Canis lupus familiaris: one gene and its partners. The protein of the gene in region 1 interacts with the protein of each later gene in a pairwise test. Links are inferred from orthologs where the notes say so. Each region holds a gene or a part of one and is shown in the gene's direction. Other genes may lie near its edges.

Region 1 (3,972 bases):
GCAGCGTACTCAGCACTACCTTTATTAAGACATCTGAGTGGGGTGTGTGTGACCGGTCGCTAGAAAACGGGGGGCGGGTGGGCTGTCTCAGGTTTCGGGGTGAGGAGGCCCGGGGAGGGGCCACCCGGGGCCCCGAGTTCAGTCTCTTCCCGGAGCAGCGGCCGTGGGCACTGAATCCTCTCACCGGCGTTCACGGCGAGGACTGCAGAGGGGACAGCCAGTGCCCTCCGTGTCCCAGAGCTGCGGAAGGACCGGCCTGCCTCCAGTCTTCATGCCGGGTGGCTTGTCACTGGGGCTCATTCTGTCTCCTTGGTGGTGCCGGCGGGGACCCCTGCTCTGATGCTTTGCATGGTGCTGCCCTAACCCCGCCACGCCGCCTTCCAGCCGCTGCATCCTTAACCGTCCTCGTCCTCCCCGTGCCAGTTCCCACGATGCGCCGGTGTAGGGACAAAGGTCAAACCAGTTCTAGTATTAAGAAAACCATCTCAGAAAATAAGAAAGAAGTATTGGCAGGTATCAGCAGAGCATGGCCCACTCTGTGTAGATCATGAATTTCCCTCTTTTCTCCCCATATATGTTCAAAACGTAATTGAATTTACTGGCAAAAATGGCCAATTGTAAACCTTTAAACAGCCTCCTCGTGTAGCCAGCAGAGGGCAGCACAGACGGCATTGACTGCATCATGTATTTTTTACTTTATTTTAAAAGGCGTCTAAAACTACTATGCCAACTACTTTCCGTACAGTTTGTCTTCTTCTTCTTCCTTTTTTTTTTTTTTGTAAGATTTTATTTATTAATTTGATAGGAGAGAAAACAAGCAGGGGGAGAAGCAGAGGGAGAGGGAGAAGCAGGCTCTCCGCCAAGCAGGGAGCCTGATGCAGGACTCGATCCCAGGAGCCCGGGATCATGACCTGAGCCCAAGGCAGATGCTCAACTGCTGAGCCACCCGGGTGACCCCCTCATTTGAATTTTTTGTAACACATATGTATTTTCTTTGTCCTCAGCCTTTTAAAAATTTTTCAGTTATATTATTTTTTATTTTTTGGCAAGATCCATTCCTGTTTGTGAGGAAAAACAGTACAAATCTGTATTTTTCAGGTAACCCAAGCAGAAGTAACTTCCCAAAGAGTTTGCAGTACTGCCAGGTGCCTGTGGATTTTCTTCTGCAGAGGATTGACGTCTTTGTCACCCTCCAGCCCAGCGCACAGCTGCTCTTCTGGGAGTCTTAGGACACTCGCATGGTTCTATGCCCCATGCCACTCTCGCCCTGGCAGCTCATCAGGAAAGATCTCAGCTGCAGAGGAGGGGTCCATCAGGAAGCAAAACCACTTACCCTCACATCCCAGAAAGGCTGCAGGGCTCCGTGGGCCTCTGTGAGTGGAGACAAGGGGTGAGGGTAGGGATTGGATGAGGGTGGAAGGTGTTCATGGCAGGCATGAAGGCTCTCAGGTCCCCTCCCCACATCCTGCAGCAAGGCAATGTCTCCTCCACTTTTGGTGGAACACAAAGGTTTGATTTCTGGAGAGCGCTATGGCGGCACAGGGAGAGTGAGCAAAGGTGTGTGTCCTTCGGTGTGGCCGTCCCACCCTTTCTCCCTCCACCTGGCGGCCCGGCTGCTCTGCCCAGGTTTGTAGCCCACACAGCCCAGGAAGGAGGTTGGAGGATGGCTCTTCAGGCTGATGGGAGAGAGAACCCACGGAGCCCCTCGCGGTCCGCGTGTTACCGCTTTCCTGCTTTAAGGGAGACCCAACGCTCCACAGGCCGCACCCACCACACGCCTTCTCACCAGGCTGCTGGTGCTGGCCCTTAGATGTGGAGGGACAGCCCACATCTTCACATCTGCTAGTGTGTGCCTGTCCTCGCCAATGTGCCGGCGTTTGAAAAGATGTTTGAGGAAACAGATTGTAGCAGGGCATTTTAAAAGCCACATACCTAGGAGTCTTAGATGTGATGTATTAATAAAACAAGAATAGGATGCTATCCAAAAGGAACATTCGGAGATTAAGAGTGGGCTCATGCGAGTTAAAAACAGCCAAAAGAAAACAATCCAGAGACTGGAAGATGAAGTAGAGAGCTGCCCCAGGGCAGGCCGTGACAGCACCACACACTGGGTGGTGTCTGCAGCGCTCTCTCGGGTGTGAGTGCTGCGGGTGTGAGACGGGGAGTCTGAGCAGGGCCGGCATCGGTGCTTCTTGCTCCCAGCTCCCTTCCTGGCCCCCAGGAGCCTGTCGTCCTGCTGTGTGCTCTCAAGGTATGAGGTACAAGGAGAGCCAGTTGGCCTCACTGGCCTCTTCCTGGACGGCCGCCAATCCCACACATGTGTGCTCCTTCCTCACGGCTTGATTGCCTCCCAAATGCCATCACGTTAGGGTTTCAGCACGCAGATCGGGGGTAAACGCTAACATTGAGTGCCTTGCAAGAATACTTCCTAGAAAGTGGTTCCACAAGGAGATGAAAAGTAGGATTCACAGTGGAGGTCCAGCGTCTAACAGAAACTCTAAACGGTGAGAGCTGAGAAAAAAGGGTAGGACATCATCAAAGATTATGAGACTTGAGAGTTGGGGTCTGCCTAGGGGCTAGCACAGTGTGTGCAAACGGACCCACACCTGGACACTGTGTTACAAAACCACACAGCGCCAAGGGTGAAGACCCTGAAAGCCTTCAGAGCAGGAAGATGGTCCCATAGAAAATTCTGGGGTTGGAATGGCACGGTCACTAACAGCACTGTGGGAGCAGAAGGCAGTGAGGGAATGCCTTCGCCATCGTGAGGAAGCGATTTTAACTTACAGCCCTGAATCCAGCCAGAGTGCCAGTCGAGTGTGGGAGGAGGACAGGGGTATTTCTGGACATGCAAAATCCACAGCAGTGATGGAAACCCATCCCTCGTGTCCTTCTTAGAGGATATGCTCTAGCAAAAGAAGGGATCCAGGAAGGAAGCACGGAATGAGAGAAACGGGAGGCGGCGTTTGGAAGAGGCAGAGGGAATTGCCAGGGTGCTGCTGTGAAAGCAGCAAGGCCGGGCCGGGAGGAGTGTGGAGGTTTTTGGAGGGCTGACCCAGAACTGGGTTGCTCCTGTTGACAGCGTCATACCTGGTGGAGAGAGCTTGGCTTTCCATCTGTAAGGCAGAGAGCTAAGCACACAGACACAAAGGAGACACTTCACGCCACTGCGTGGTAATTTCAATCCTAGTACGTTGTGTAGCTAAGCTGTGAGCAGTGTTTATGGAAGTAATAAACACTGATTTAACCCAAACCTCACGTGTAATTGTACGGAGCGTGTGTCAGGGCGGGGAGGGTGGGGGTCAGAGCTGAGTCTTCCTCTTCCATGGCAGGCAGTTGCTGCCCAGAATTGAGGACTCGGGAGCAGGTAGTGTGCTTGTGATGTGTGGAAGCAGGGAGGTAATCAGCAGAACAGAGAGCTGAAGGAGCCTACCTCCACGGAGCAGGATGCGAGCGTGGGGGCTGCAGTTGGGCAGGAAACTGTGGGTTGCTGTTTTAAGCCATAGGTACTGTTTGTTTTTTTATGTGATGTGTGCACGTTATTTTGGTTAAAGAGGAAACACTAGACACAAGGGGTAAGAAAAGCCTGGGGGGGCAGTGGGGTCGCATCCAGGAGGGTCTTGGAGCTATGATGAGGAGCTGAGACCTCGAGGCAGCGGATGGGGCCGTCGCAGACGTCCTTACCCTGCCGAGTGGCTCCTGGAGCTCGTGCCTTGGCGTGCAGCCCCCCGCCTGTGCCGTCGGCCCTCTCCGTCCTGCTGTTGTGGAGGCTGCCCTGCCTGCTGGCCTCCACTGGATCTGTCCAGGAGGCTGGAGAGTCCGAGGAGAATGAGGTCAGGGGGTCTTCTCCCTGCATGGTGGCTGAGGGTTATCCGGGCCCTGTCCCAGGGCCTGTCCGGTAGCCCCTGCAGCCGGCCGCCGCCTCCCGCAGACCGCAGGTGGGTAGGGCGCTCAGTCCTGATCACCCTGGGG
Region 2 (3,872 bases), on another chromosome or scaffold:
GGCCTTCCCCTTCCAAATGTACTTTTGTCCCCCGCTCTTCCTTTATAGCCTCCATCTACCTTTCCTAGACTGCTTCTTACAAGGGAGTGCTCCTTTCCAACTAGGCTGCCTTTCCTTGGGATTAAGTGGCCATAGGCAAAGCTGAGCTGTGCCTGTCTGCTGGGCTTGATGTGGGGATCTGAGCCGGCAGGGCAAGGCCGAAGGGCGGGAGGGAGAGTGAGCCTCTAACTGTCCTTGTCAGATGTCTCTGGGTGGTTTGCTTTGATTCTCATCACCCCCTTTGATGGAAGAGGGCACGCCTCACGAGCAGTCTTGACCATGACAGCAGCCACTTCATGGCCACCCTGGGCCGCTGCTCGCATGTGCTGGGCAGCTGAGGAAGGAAGCAGCTAAGAAGTCAGGGTGCTTAGCGGTGTTCTAAGTTTAGCCCTCCAAGGAAACCTTTCAGACAGACTGGCTTCCCCTTTTTGTTGTGAAAAGTACATAGGTGTGCAGCGATAAACACTGCTTTAACAGTGCAGGCTGATAGAATGATGATACTTGCTGAACATTTACTAAGCTCTGTTCACTGTTTTGCACCTTTTCTGTCCTACTGACTCTACCAATTCTCAGGATAATCCCAGGGTTTAGATACTATTATTGCCTTCATCTTACACACAGGGGAAGCCTAGAGTGTAAATCCTTGCCTCAACAGCTGGTAAATATACACAAACCCAAGCAATATGGTTCTGTAATATTTTTAAGAATATATAAATAAATAAATGCCATTGTTTCTATTGCCGGTTGTTTCCTTTGTCATAGTTTCAACTTGTTGATGCTACTAGATTATTTCTTGCAGAAGTAATGTTCCCAATATCTCCCTTTTGTGTAGAAAATAATCTTTCAAATGAATGGAGGAGTTTGTTAGTGCTAGGAAGGAAGGAAAGATATTAATGACAAATCGCAACATCTAGAGGTAAATTGCTACCTTCACTGGGGATTCCCAATAATTAACACTTCTTTTTCCTTTTTATCAGCAAACCTTGAAGAAAAAATGGGTGGAGTTCAGATCTCTGCAGTTACAGGAACAGCGTCTGCTTCATGGTAAGTGTGATTTCCTGTTCAGAAGAAACCACATTAACATTCATCTTTTTGGTATTTCGACCTCTAAGTTGTTGTAAGATTATCATCATTATAAGAAAACATTGTCTAGCATGGATCAAAAATACTGGTCTCTGGGGGTTTTTTGGCATGACCTTTGGATTTACTTGTGCTTTCAGAGAGTAAGTCAAGTCACATCCCTTCTTCCATGCATATAACACATATGCACACAAAACCACACACACACACACACACACACTCTCACATGTGTGCACACACTTGTAAGAAGCACCTGGAGATTTTAGAAGAACAGTGGGAATAATAGTCTGATTTTCCTACTATTACAATAGATGAATTAAATTTCTGAGAATGCTTGTGGCTCAGGGTTGTGTAGTTCTCAGAAATTACTGAGGCTGGAATGGTAGATTGCTTCTTGGGTAGAGCTCCTACCATTTGTACATATTATATAAGTTATGTGAATGCAGAGAAATGCTTATTCATGCCTGCAAACCCAAGACGGGAAATACCAGCGATCATTCTAACAGTAAATGCATGGCTCTTGCTGCTGTGTAAATTCTGAAAGGAAAGGTTGAGTTTAAAATTAATTGATTTGGGGGCACCTGGGTGGCTCAGTTGGTTGACTGTCTAACTACTGATCTTGGCTCCGGTCTTGATATCAGGGTCATGAGTTCGAGCCCCATGTTGAGCTCTGTGCTGGGTATAGAGCCTGCTTAAAAAAAAATTGGGGGACGCCTCGGTGGCTTAGCGGTTTAGTGTGAAATACAGGTTATACCTTCTTCAGATAACCCTGAGCTAAAGTCTATTTATAACCTTTAGCTTTGTTTGTTTCAGGTAATAATTTATTTACAGAATAAAAGATACATTTAACTCATAATTAGGCACTAATATATGGCTTTGATGTTTATTTTGAAATTCTGTTTTTTAAATGAAGCTTCTATATAAATTATTTCTCTTGTCTGTTTTTAAATTAATATTTTATTATTTTTTAAATTAATATTTTAAAACAATTGTAGCAGATTTTTTGGGGGTCTGACGTTTCCTAGCAGGACACAGGTTTAAATCCAGCCACTCTTGGATTTCTGTAGACTTTGAGGATGTCTGGGAAACCTCTGCGTCTGCTTCTGGAACATTCTAGAGTGGAGATGAGGTTTGGCCTAATGTGTATAGGCAGTCCAGGGGTTCTATAGGAATAGCTTCTGTAGACAAGATCTTTAGTTCAGGATTAAGGGGAATGACTCCTCATTAAAGCCATTGTTTTACACTTTTTTTTTTTTTTTGAGAGATTGAAGGAATTCTTTAGTTTGCTTTTTCTAGACCTAGAATAAATACACAGGGTATGAGATTCTCAATTGCTTTCCAATCAGGCTGTTGCCAGATGAAATAAAGTAGGTTTTATTAGGAAAAAAGGAAAGCATTCTGACGAGTCAGTGCAGAGCTGGCCATCTTCAACCTTGCAGATTAAATGGAAAATCAGGCTCTTTTTGTATTGCTCATCAAGGACAAAGGAAAGTGACAGTAGAGAAATAATCAGCGCAGAGTAAAACCATTTCTGAGTGTGCAGTGTTCCATTGCTGTTCCTGAAGCAGAGTCCCCTTCTAATTACCGTGTTCTCAGGCTAGTGTAACAAATAATCCCCTTCCTTTTAGCAGCATACCAGCCAGCTCAGTGCATAAGCAAGCGGGGCAGGGACAGGATGTTGGTGTGCAATTAAAATCTGAGCTTGGAGAGCCCAGATGCAGGTTATGAAAGGTTGATGAAAAAAATCAGCTAAGCAGATAAAACTCAGCTCCTACAAATAAATTGTTACTTATTTGAGGACAGGGATGTTTTCTGGGTATGGTACTATTCCAGAGCATTTAAGTATTAAAGTATTCTAGGAAGAAACATGGAATATTGAGGTTGGAAGATACCCTTTCTGTTTTGAATTATCTATAATCAGCCTACAGGTGGAGGCTACATGTGTTTCCCATACACTTCGGGTGATGTTATAAGAATTTTATAAGTCCTTGAAAAATGTGGTAACTAAAAATCAGAGGAACTTAATGGAAGAAGTCCGTAAGACAGCATTTCCTCAAGTATATTCTTTATTTTTTTTTTTCTGAGTGTACTCTTTAGAATGCCATTTCTGTGAGAATTTCAATAAAAGGTTGCAGGGTCACTTCTGTTTAAGAAGTGATACTTTTGGAGCTTGACAAGTCATACCAGCATACTCTCAGATGACTTGACTATTCTTACATGAAGAAGCTATTTAAATTTATTTAATTTCCAGTACTATTTCTGTGACCAGGGAACATTTTTTACATGGAAGCTAGTCCATGAACAATAGTTTGGGAAATACCACTATAAGGTTTATCAAGCAGTCTCATAAATAATCACTTATTCATACAGGTGAAACTCAGGGAAAAATATTACTCACCTTTACTCTTTCTTACACCCTTTGAAGAGAAATTTGGTTGTGTTTACTTATGGGGAATGATGCTCATACCCATTCCACAGTAGACTTTGTTTTCTGCATTCTAGGTAACACAGGTAACTGCCCAAGTTTGGAAAACATGGACATAGATGAGTCAGTTTTGTTTGGAACCCTGCCCGGGCCAGGCCCAGCCCTCCTGGACCGGAATCGATTATCAAGTGAGAGCAGCTGCCTGAGCTCCATGACCGTGGACAGCGAGGATGGCTACCAGACGTGTGTGTCTGAGGACTCAAGCAGAGGAGGCTTCAGTCGACAGACAAGCACAGATGATGAGTGCTTTGTCCCCAAGGATGGAGAT
Region 3 (3,872 bases), on another chromosome or scaffold:
GGGCAGCTCCGCCCCGACCCGGGCCTCCTGGGGACCCTCCTTCTCCACCACCCCGTGTGTGGGGCTTCCCTGCCCCATATCCATCAGCGGCGCCGCGTGGGGTCGGCCCGCGTCAGGCCACCTCTCACGGAGCTGCCTCCTCCTGCCGCCAGCGTCCTGCCAGGAGTGCACCAAGTACAAAGTGAGCACGTGCCGGGACTGTGTGGAGTCGGGGCCCGGCTGCGCCTGGTGCCAGAAGCTGGTAAGAGCCCCCCCCCAGGGACCTCGCGCCCGTCCTGCCCGTCCCGCGTTCCCGTCCCCGTTCCTGTCCCCACGCCCTCCCTCTGCCTCTGGAGCTGGGCACCAGGGGGACCACCACTCTGTTTCCGGGGAGGCACGCGCAGCCTGGGGGCTGAGAGACAGACAGACAGACAGACTCGGCCCCACCCCAGGGCAGCCTGGGGTCACCCGGCCGTGTGCCCCCTGCCCAGGCAGGAGCCCTGAGCGGGGACCACAGGACGTGAGGAGGTTGTCAGGAAGTGAGAGCACAGGGACGAGGTGCGGGAGGCTCCGCATGGGACCTTTGTGCTTCTCACGCGGCGGCCGCAACCCTCCTGTCCCGGGCCCATCCACCTCCTGGAGAGAAGCCCCAGGCCCCGCCCGCGGCCCCCTCCCCCTGCGCCCCTGTCCCGACCATGCCCTCCCGCCCTGGGGGTCCCTGAGGTTCTGACGCTGCAGGACGGGCCGGAGACGCATGCGCGCACTGAGGGTAGACTGCAGACCTGAAGCCCCTTTGTCCCTCGTTACTTCAAGCATCCGTCGCTAGCCCAGGCCCCCCAACCCCGACACCCACCACACGCTCCTCCCGGTCCTGGACCGTGGCCACGGCACCTGCTCACGTCTGCACGCCCTACGCAAACGTTCCCAGCTGTGCCCATGATGCTCTCGATCGCGCTTGCCCCGGGCTGTGCGATGACCCAGGATCACACCCGGCAGCAGGTGTCCTGGCCCTTCAGTCCCCCGGAACCGGGAGCCCCTCAGCTCTGGGTCACGCACCACCCCCCGCGCCCGGCACTTCCGAGGGGCTCAGAGCAGCGGCCGCTAGGAGGCCCGGCGCTCGCTCTCCCTGGGTCCAGGGCGTGTGTTTGGGCAGGTGCCCCGCACGGGGCTCAGGGCGTGCCTCTGTCCCCACACTGGTGATGCTGGTGAGAGCCCCCCAGCCGAGGGGCGTCGCCTCCACCGCGATGTCACCATTAGCTCTTTGCGGTTAATACGTGACTTGTGGGGTGATGCACGTGGCCAGGAGGCCTGCTTCCTATGAAGCTTACACCCCCTGACGTTAGCGCCCGGGGGCGGGGGGGGCACCCCAACCAGTCCGGCGAGGGCTGCACCGTGGGGGCGTCCAGCGCGCGCACTCCCCTGTGGCTCCTGGTGTAAGGAGGACTTCATCCACCTCCCCCGTCTCTGTCCCATCAGAGCGTCCAGCAGGCGCACCTCCGCGTCCATTTTCTGAGCACTTTTTTTCTTTTCTTTTTTTTTTACATTTTTTAAATTTAAATTTAATTTGCCAACATATAAGACCCAGTGCTCATCCCATCGAGTAGTGACATGGCCCAGGCCCAGAATCGTCCTCGTCCTCGCCCCCGCCGGGGAATCTGGCGGTTCTCCGCAGGCTCCTGCCTCCCTTTCAGGAGAAGCCGGGCTCCGGCCCCCGCAACACGTTTCCTCCTTTTCTCGGTCCCGCCCGACGCGGCAGGGGCTTCGGAGCGGCCGGCCCACGCCCCGGCCACAAGCGCCTACAGGGAAGTGGGGTGCCGGGTGTGGTCTCCCCCCTTTGACACGGTGTGGCCGCAGCCCCGGGGGTGAAACGTCCCCGGCAGGTTGGAGTTCCCCATTCCCCGCGACAGAGCTCGTTAGATTCCTTGGAAATAGGGCGAGGCTCATTAGCTTCCACGCAGACTGTAGCGTAGGCCTTTGTTCCCGGGGGGCTCGCTTTGTTCCTCGGGTCCTGCGAGCAGTGACAGAGGTCCCGGGGGAGACGGGCGGCTCGGGAAGTGCCCACCCTCCGGGCGCCGCGGTGGGCCGCACCTAACCAGCCTCCGGCATGGCCACCCCTGAGACATGACCTGCCCCTTCCTGGGCCCCCCTGAGAAAGGGGGCAGAGACGTGTCCGGGTCCCTGAGCGTGTTCTTCCTTGGCCTGGCGTCAGGACCCACGGAACGGGGCCCCTGCTCCCACCCCATCCTCTCAGAGCCCAGGGGCCTCTATGAGGACGCTGCCCTGATCCAGGACCCCGCCCGCCTCTCCCAACAGCCTGGGGCTTGGCCCAGAGGCCGGCCTGTGTGCTGGAGCCCCCGGGGCGGCACCTGCCTCCTCTCGGGAGGGCGCTTCTGCTACTAAAGGCCCAGCCACCCCGGCCACTCCTGGCCAGGTGCCCCGGCAGGGCCTGGAGCTGCTGAGCGACCCCAGGGACAGCCGGGGCCTGAACACCTTGGTCCTTCCATCATCTGGGGTGACCCACAGCCTCAGGGAGAGGCCGTCAGAGGGCGGGTGTCCTCCTCACACCCAGCTGCCTGGCCTCCCACCCTCACCCCTCCCCACCCAGACACCTGTCCCCAATCCCAGGTGCGACAGAGGAGGGGCCGCCTCCTCAAGTGACCCCGAGGGCCGCTCTCGTGCAGCACCCACAGTGCGGCCCCCACCCTGCCTCTGCCCTCCTCCTGAGCCCTGACCCCCCGCCCCCCAGAACTTCACTGGGCTAGGGGAGCCCGACTCCGTTCGCTGTGACACCCGAGAGCAGCTGCTGCTGAAAGGATGTGCGGCTGACGACATCATGGACCCTCAGAGCCTGGCCGAGATCCAGGAGGACAAGAAGGGCGGCCGGCAGCAGCTGTCCCCGCAGAAAGTGACGCTCTACCTGAGACCAGGTAGGCTTGGCCTCGGCGGGGGTCAGGGGGCACTGGCGTGTTGGTGGCTCTGGGCGCCAGGGCTGGGTGATGGTCCAGGCGTCCGGTGGCCAGGTCGGGCAGCAAGGCAGGCGAGCCCCGGAGACTAGAGACTGTTGGACACTCGGCCAAGGGAGTGTGGCCCCTGCCCTCCGCCTGCGGGAGGACCCCCAACGCCCACCATCGGCGGCTCTGTGCCTCGGCTCTGTGTCCTTTCCAAAGGGGAGGAGGGGGATCCCTGGGTGGCGCAGCGGTTTGGCGCCTGCCTTTGGCCCAGGGTGCGATCCTGGAGACCCGGGATCGAGTCCCACGTCGGGCTCCCGGTGCATGGAGCCTGCTTCTCCCTCTGCCTGTGTCTCTGCCTCTCTCTCTCACTGTGTGCCTCTCATAAATAAATAAATAAAATTAAAAAAAAAAGGGGGGGGGGGAGGAGGAACTCTTCTATCCCCGTCTCACACCGTCAGGGGCTCTTGGCAGAGTAAAAGCCCTGATGAGTCCTGTAGCCAGGGAGCCTGAGCGACGTCGGAGTCATTGTTGCTCAGACTGACTTGACGGCAGAGCCCCGTCAGTGCTCCAGGAGGAGTCCTTGGGGGAGGCGGGCCTGGTGGGAGGAGCAGGACCACGGGGCGGACTGGCCAGGGTGGGGCTGGGTGAGCACTGCCCCCCTGGTGCACCCGGCAGGCGGCACAGACGGAGACGACCAGGCCCCCTCCCTCCATCGTTCACCCTCCCGTCACGTGTTTGCTGAGCACCTGCTACGCTGAGGCTGGGACAGGGGCCTGCGTCCGGCTGGGGGGTGCCCGGTGCCGGGGATGGAGCAGGGCTGGTCCGGGCAGCCAGGTGCCCGTGCACGGCAACAGTGCTCCGTGAACGAGGACTCGGTGGCATGAGTAGGTCCGGAAGGTTCTCCTAGAAGTTCAAGTCTAGCCGGGAGCCCGGTGTCATGTC

What was found.
Region 2: the proteins of CYTH1 (region 1) and CYTIP interact in binary tests that used the Homo sapiens proteins (3 or more experiments, as listed by UniProt). The link is inferred for Canis lupus familiaris from reciprocal best matches to the Homo sapiens genes CYTH1 and CYTIP.
Region 3: the proteins of CYTH1 (region 1) and ITGB2 interact in a two-hybrid assay, tested with the Homo sapiens proteins (2 studies listed by BioGRID). The link is inferred for Canis lupus familiaris from reciprocal best matches to the Homo sapiens genes CYTH1 and ITGB2.

The regions. Positions count from the first base shown.
Region 1 is NC_049230.1:3,507,992-3,511,963, forward strand, and holds the start of CYTH1 (cytohesin-1), read left to right. Parts: upstream 1-1,114; 5' UTR 1,115-1,246; coding exon 1,247-1,373; intron 1,374-3,972. UniProt on the Homo sapiens protein: Promotes guanine-nucleotide exchange on ARF1, ARF5 and ARF6. Promotes the activation of ARF factors through replacement of GDP with GTP.
Region 2 is NC_049257.1:3,654,647-3,658,518, reverse strand, and holds part of CYTIP (cytohesin-interacting protein), read left to right. Parts: intron 1-1,016; coding exon 1,017-1,083; intron 1,084-3,621; coding exon 3,622-3,872. UniProt on the Homo sapiens protein: By its binding to cytohesin-1 (CYTH1), it modifies activation of ARFs by CYTH1 and its precise function may be to sequester CYTH1 in the cytoplasm.
Region 3 is NC_049252.1:38,476,730-38,480,601, reverse strand, and holds part of ITGB2 (integrin beta-2), read left to right. Parts: intron 1-152; coding exon 153-241; intron 242-2,725; coding exon 2,726-2,906; intron 2,907-3,872.